Xenopus tropicalis: one gene and its partner. The protein of the gene in region 1 purifies or fractionates together with the protein of each later gene. This does not show direct contact. Links are inferred from orthologs where the notes say so. Each region holds a gene or a part of one and is shown in the gene's direction. Other genes may lie near its edges.

Evidence for each region. Proteins that work in one complex are often made in the same cells at the same time.
Region 2: the proteins of hspa12b (region 1) and eef2k purify together in Homo sapiens (affinity purification with mass spectrometry; 3 studies listed by BioGRID and IntAct, with this or other methods). This does not show direct contact. The link is inferred for Xenopus tropicalis from reciprocal best matches to the Homo sapiens genes HSPA12B and EEF2K.

The regions. Positions count from the first base shown.
Region 1 is NC_030677.2:15,717,488-15,721,250, reverse strand, and holds the end of hspa12b (heat shock 70 kDa protein 12B), read left to right. Parts: coding exon 1-31; intron 32-1,727; coding exon 1,728-1,831; intron 1,832-2,664; coding exon 2,665-3,305; 3' UTR 3,306-3,703; downstream 3,704-3,763.
Region 2 is NC_030685.2:25,027,359-25,031,021, forward strand, and holds part of eef2k (eukaryotic elongation factor 2 kinase), read left to right. Parts: intron 1-248; coding exon 249-447; intron 448-3,598; coding exon 3,599-3,663. UniProt on the Homo sapiens protein: Threonine kinase that regulates protein synthesis by controlling the rate of peptide chain elongation.

The DNA.
Region 1 (3,763 bases):
AGAATGTGGAGACTGCCCTGAGAAAGAGCAGGTAACCTAGAACCTGGCTTGTATTAACATGCTCGGTGTGCCATAATGTCCACTCTAGGCTTCCATCCACAGGCTCAATACAGAACTAGTCCCAAGGTGGGACACAATGCTTGGTTAGGTGGAGCTGACCTCGTTGGCTGCACATCGAATAAACCCTCTGCTTTTTATTGGCTGTCACTTCTCAGTTACCCCAATTTCATCACTACCAACATCACCATCAAATTATCCATCTAATGTATCCATATGGACATGAGGGAAGAGGGCTGGTTACCTGCCTAAAGGTTCTACCTATATCTACTCCATGGGGCCCCATTAGGGATTAATTTCAATCACTATAAAACTGTACATTTCCATTGTACGTCCCTCAGTTATTCCCTAGGAGGCCACCAACCGAGAAGCTTCCTGTTAAAAGGGGAATCAATGTTCCTATTGATCCGAGCGTTCGATGTGTAATTAATTCTCAGTCTCCTCAAACTCTCGCACGTTCTGAAAGCCTCAGAGTGAATTCCAATCCACCAGGGAAATCTCTCTGGAAACCACGGCCTGTATCGTCTGTAGCCTTAAATAATGGCATTTACTATTGACTGTACAGGAGAGAAGTTGTAACGTGTATTGTTGTAATTACTGCACCAGGGTTCCTGCTAATAAGGCTGGGAGGGGGGGGGGACTTGTAATGGAACCTTCTCTGCAACAATATTCTGCACATACAGAATTAGTAAGGGTCATAGATGAATTGGTGACAGCTACAGCATTCCAAAACAGTATAAGGTGGTGTAGCCCAGGTTAGTGGGGACGACTAGGAATGGGGACCACTGGGATTTTCCTTATTATTCCTGTGGACCAGTCCAAGTCTGGACTAGCAATGGGGACCACCGAAATTTCCTCATTATTCCTGTGGACCAGTCCAAGTCTGGACTAGGAATGGAGACCACTGGGATTTTCCTCATTATTCCTGTGGACCAGTCCAAGTCTGGACTAGGAATGGGGACCACTGAGATTTCCTCATAATTCCTGTGGACCAGTCCAAGTCTGGACAAGGAATGGGGACCACTGGGATTTTCCTCATTATTCCATAGGACCAGTCCAAGTCTGGAGCAAGGGATAGATCCAGAGAAAAAGGTAGAGATTACCTCTTTGGGGGCCACTGGGATTTTCCTCATTATTCCTGTGGACCAGTCCAAGTCTGGAGCAAGGGATAGATCCAGAGAAAAAGGTAGAGAATCCCTCTTTCTAACTATCATGCAGATCTATGGTTCTGTTAGGAAGACTAGTGGGTCTGGCCAGCCATGTAGTGGGGCCTAGTCAGGCCGACCTACCGGTCAACAATCAGATTCCATGGTGTCCCATAAATGACTGACTTAATTTTCCATTTGGCTCATTAGTGCTTCAACAACCCCAGTCAAACTGATCCAAAAAGGCTACCAACTCCATCAGTGTTTATATGTAGCAACAGGCAGTTTCTACTGCCAACTACTGGTTCAGCCTCAGTCCTTCAGCTGTAGGTTTGACTCCGATGCCTTGTCAGATTGTATAGATTGGTCCTGCCATGTCTGAGATGCTTTGTTCTTATCGTTAATAATCTGGCCACAGGAGAGCGCTTGAGTCTGTACATCAGGTTAAAACGTGGTTAAAACTGGCAGTCATTTATATGACCTCTGACTCAGGAACTCTAACACCTCCTTTATATTTTGCTTCAGTGTCAACTTTGTGAAATGGTCATCCCAGGGCATGCTACGGATGTCTTCCGAGGCCATGAACGAACTGTTCCAGCCAACCATCCGTCAGATCGTCCAGCACATAGGTACCATATCATCCCCATTTACTTACCCTTTAATGCACTCACAGTATTACTTCGAACTCTGATGAATAGTATAAACTGCTGATAGTGGCCTGACTAGGACAGGACTCATACTATATTAGTATAGAATGTTTTGCTCAAATAGTCAGTAGCTGAGATAGGTTATAGTACTTACACATTTAGGCACAGTTAATGGGACAGGGCCTCATGTTAAACATCCAGGAGTAGTAATTCATCAGATATTGATCGGGCAGGTTAAAAGATTGTCAGATCGGGGACCACATCGGCTCGTTGATGCTATCCCTGAACCGACTACCCCATTGCTCCCGTTAGCCTACATTTGCCCGATATCGCCCACACGTAGGTCCGCTCGCTTGGCGAGGTGTATGGCCACCTTTAGGCAGATCTTAAAGGGCCAAGCTTTTTATCTTCCAGAATTATTATCAGTATTGTACTGGATTTGAAATATTTTTGTGGCCGGTCTGTGTTTTTTCTAACTTTCCTTCGTTGTGCGATGTTTATTGGGCTGAAATGTTTTAGTACTCGGAGAGATTTCTGTAAATATTAACTCAATGTCTGACAGAGTTTTTATGCTGAACATATTCTCCCCCTACTGTGCCAGCCTTGGGTATAGATTGCTTACTCCTTGCATGAATAATGGATCCCAGTCCTGTACTGGATACAAGAATATTGTAGGACTCACCAACATTCCAGCCCTGAACTGAGATCCTGTTCCATAAATGGATAGTTTGGGGTAACAGCTAAAGCTAATTGAACCATAGAAAAGTCCATCTTTGTGCAGAGACCAGTCTATAACATTGTCACCTTTCCCGTAGATGACCTCATGAAGAAGCCAGAGGTGGAAGGCATCAAGTACCTCTTCCTGGTTGGTGGTTTTGCAGAGTCTCCGATGTTGCAGAGCGCTGTCCAATCAGCTTTCAGCGATATCTGTCGGGTTATCATTCCTCAAGACGTTGGCCTTACCATACTCAAAGGAGCCGTCCTCTTTGGCCTCGATCCTACCATTGTCAGAGTAAGGCGTTCTCCTCTCACCTATGGCGTTGGGGTCCTCAACAAGTTCGTAGAAGGAAAACATCCAGCGGATAAACTCCTTGTGAAAGAAGGGAAGAATTGGTGCACGGATATCTTTGATAAGTTTGTGTCCGTGGATCAGTCGGTGGCTCTAGGCGACATAGTCCAGCGGAGCTACTGCCCGGCCAGGAATGGGCAGCGCAAAATAATCATCAATATCTACTGCTCCTCTACGGATGAGGTGGTGTACATCACCGACCCTGGCGTCAGGAAGTGCGGCACCATTAACCTGGACTTGCCTGATATAAACGAGGAGAATGGGAAGACGGGGCGCCGGGAGATTAAAGCCAGCATGCAGTTTGGGGACACGGAAATCAAAGTAACGGCCATGGATGTCAAAAGCAAAAAGACTGTGCGAGCCGCCATAGACTTCCTTTCCAACTGAGCAAAGACTTATTCCTTTAGTTCTAGAGAACTTGCAGAAGTCATTAAGGACAACCATTGGTGGTTAAAGCCAAGTCTCTGCTGAGGTCTTTGCATTCCATTTCATGATAAACCTGGAATAACTTACCTGTGGGCAATATCATTGGCCACTGAGACGTTTCCCATTATGTAGAATGGAAGCCTCGGTGGTGAGCCACTATTTTAGCTACCAGTACCAAGTCAGAACCACTTAAAATGTGTTATTCAACGGATCAGTCCTTCCAGTCATTCAGCCCTGTCAAAAATGTATGAAGTTCTAGCTGATGTTTGGTGGCCGTAAAAGACTTTTTTCAAAGACAACTTTTAATATTTGCCCCTACATTATGACCAACATGATGACATTGCATTGGAATCTAAGCGTCAAGGCAACATAGAACGTTCAAGTAATGAACAAATGATATGAAGGTTGGAGGCCCAGCC
Region 2 (3,663 bases), on another chromosome or scaffold:
AAAGCTGCCTCCATAGGCTCGTATTCTTGGGTGCCTTTATTAAAAATAAAATAAAAAAATTTTCTGGTGTTCTAGGGATCCACTCAGGCCTTGCAAATATATAATAAACGTTTAGTAGACCCCCTCTTAACACTCGATAAATATGTCAATGCCAGTATTTAATTTTTCTTAATATGAATGTTTGTAATTAATTCTGCTTTAATTTAGTGTGCATTATCACTCATATGAAAGGCATTGTTTTTACCCAGCAAACAGCCCAGACTGTTGTTCGTGGCATTGAGGAAAAGTGTGGCAGCAATCGGGTCAGAACCATGTCTGGCAGCCGCCCACCTCTTCTCTCACGTCTCTCTGAAAACTCTGGAGATGACATGAGTGACATGGCGTTCGATTCCTTACCTAGCTCACCTTCCCCAGTCACCCCCCACGGCCATCGATTCGATTCGCATGGTAAGTACAGAAGCCACCTCTGCAGGTTAATACAAAGCAAGCTGATTAAAATATGTTAATGGAGTTTTTCCAGTGCCCCAGATCAGGTACTGAGCTGGTATTTTCCATTGCTGGAATTTTCATTATTAATGGGGTAGAGGCAAGAAACAGATTTATTCCATTTTGTAGTTATTTAGATCACTGAAGATTAACTTTTTTCTTGTTGGTAGATTTCTGCAAAAAAAAAACAGTTTTTGCAGCTTGATCCCACACCCAAAAATGAGGAACCCCAAAACATAGAATCAAATACACACTGTAACTTGAGTGTCGGCAGCCGTATCTGCAGTATGTTCAAAAATACATACTTGATAAAGTATGTATTTTTGACAGTACACTTGATAAAGGGTATTGACCCGAAACATGTTGTGTTACCACTACCCACAATAAATGTTTTGCAGTAAATCTGCTGAAGCTTTTTTTCCTACTTTTTGGATATCTGCAGTTTGTAAAGGGGTAATCTTATGAGGAAAATGCAGAGCTCTTTGCTAGCATTTCAATCCACAGGTCAGCTCTGCAGATAAATACTGGAATGAAGTATAGGTATGGGACCTGTTATCCAGAATGCTTGGGACCTGGGGTTTTCTGGATAAGCGGTCTTTCCATAAATGTGCACCATACTTTAATCCCACTAAAAAATTATTTATAAGTTAAATAAACCCAATAGGGTTGTTTTTCTTCCAATAAGGATTAATTATATCTTAGTTGGGATCAAGTATAAGCTACTGTTTAATTATTACAGAGAAAAAAGTAATCTTTAAAAATTTGAATTATATGATTAAAATGGGGTATATGGGAGATGCCTTCCCCTAATTTGGAACTCTGGATAATGCTTTTCCGGATAACAGATGCCATACCTGTATATATATATATATATATATATATATATATATATATATATATATATACACAAAGGATGGCACACCGCTACATAACATACCTCGGGTGCTCGGTAAAGGGTTCCAATAGTATAAAAAAGACCAGCAACTCCGGGATTTCTTGTGAAAAATCAAAACATGTATTCAAAGTAGCATAAACAGCCGACGTAACGTTTCGGTCCCCATTGGGACCTTTCTCAGGGCATCCATGCCTTGTAACACACATCTTTAAATCACCAAAAACCAGTAAATCAATAGGAAGTGACATCACAGTGTGCTGCCATAAAGTGGCTGAAGCCATAAAGCAAGTGAAAGTGCTGAAAAGTGCTGTAAAGTGTTCAGTGCTGGGCAACATCAGCCTAATAAAGTGTTAAGCAGCATTAACATAATAAAGTGACTTAGTGAAGATTGTTAATCCAAAAATTACAGGTATGCATAATATCATATAAAAATTCATATAAAATTCCATGCAGTAAACATTTACAGCGAGAGGTTAATGTGCAACATAAAGTACTTTTTCAACCATACATCGACATATATACAGAAAGTGCACGTGCAAAACCTGTTTCTCAGGATATCCCCTATCTCGGAATTTCTGGCACATCCTATTCTCCTGTATTTCTCGTTCTCCTGTCTCACTTACCAATCTCTTAACTCTAGAGAGTTGACTCACTGGAATTGAGCTTTTCGTATGTGGTGGATGTTGACTTTTGAAATGTAAAATCTAGTTTCGATCTGTTGGCTTAGTGAAAAGAGAAGTACATAAACTGCCTTCAATATTTCTATAGATTCGTACATCCAAAAAGTGAATTTGTTGGAGATCATGAGTAAGTGTCAAAGTGATAGAAGGATGTATATCATTCAATTTATTGTGGAACAGTTTCAGGGAGCCAATGTCACCCCACCACAGTACAAACACATCATCGATGTATCTCCACCAAGCCAAACAATGTTCGGGCCGCCAGTTGGACAGCACTGCTCTAGAGTTTAGAGATTGGTAAGTGAGACAGGAGAACGAGAAATACAGGAGAATAGGATGTGCCAGAAATTCCGAGATAGGGGATATCCTGAGAAAGTGATTAATAAGGCACAATATAGAGTACAACATTCTACTGGAAGGAGAAAACAGGGAGGTGGGCGAATACCTTTTGTTACACAATATTCAGATTGCAGTGAAACAGTTGCTCAAACTTTACGTAAACATTGGTATATTCTTAAAAAGGCATATCCGTTGATACAAGAATTTGAGGCACCCCCTATGATATCATATCGTAGGGGGAGAACTATTGGTGCTTCGGTTACCTCCACGGCACTTAGAATGGAAAATAAACAAAGTTATACTTTTTTAGGAGCAAAAACTAAGGGCATGTATCCATGCCTAAATTGTACGCAGTGTGCATATGTTTCGAAAGGAAGCTATTTTGTGCATCCAAAAACAGGTCAAAAGATACAATTACGGGGGCACTTTACATGTGTCACAAAATATGCATTTTATGTGTTGATCTGTCCGTGTGGTCTCATCTATGTGGGTGAGACCACACAGATGGTAAAATCCCGTATATCACAACATCGATCAGCTATTAATCTGGGGAATACTGCATTACCGGTGTCTAAGCATTTTTGTGAAAAGGGCCACACTGCAGAACAGCTCAGGTTCATGGTATTGGAATCTATACCGCCTCTAAAAAGAGGAGGTGATAGGGAACTTAGGCTGAAACAAAGGGAAGTGTAGTGGATTAATAAACTACAATCACTTTTTCCTATTGGATTGAACAAGGATTATGATTTGTTTCTCTTCTTGTAAATATTTGTATGTAATTGCACAATTTTTCTATATAAGATTCTGCTACTTGATTGACAATATTCTGCATATGTAAAAAGTTTACTATGACTTGAAATGAATCGCTATGGTAACGCTCAATCTATGATGTCATTTCCTGTATATCCCTTTAAATGTGATTCACTGGATGGATCGCATTATTACAGGCTTGATAAAGGGCATGTGTTTTGTCCGAAACGTCGCATATGTGATGTGATTCTTTTTAATACACTTTTTTGCAAATAACCCGTGTGCTGCATCTCTTTCAAGTTTTGTATAGTTGAGGGACGTGACGGCGTCCTGAAGTTGCAGAGCACCGGGGTTCGCGCTATGGATGAGTGCGGTGACAGTATTGTATAAGTTTATACATATATATATATTGACTACATTTGTCTTTTTCCCTTCTTTCTCTTTAAAGGTTGGCCTATTTTTAATGAGGTCGACAACTTACTTAACGAAGAAAACAATAACTTGGACAATCAT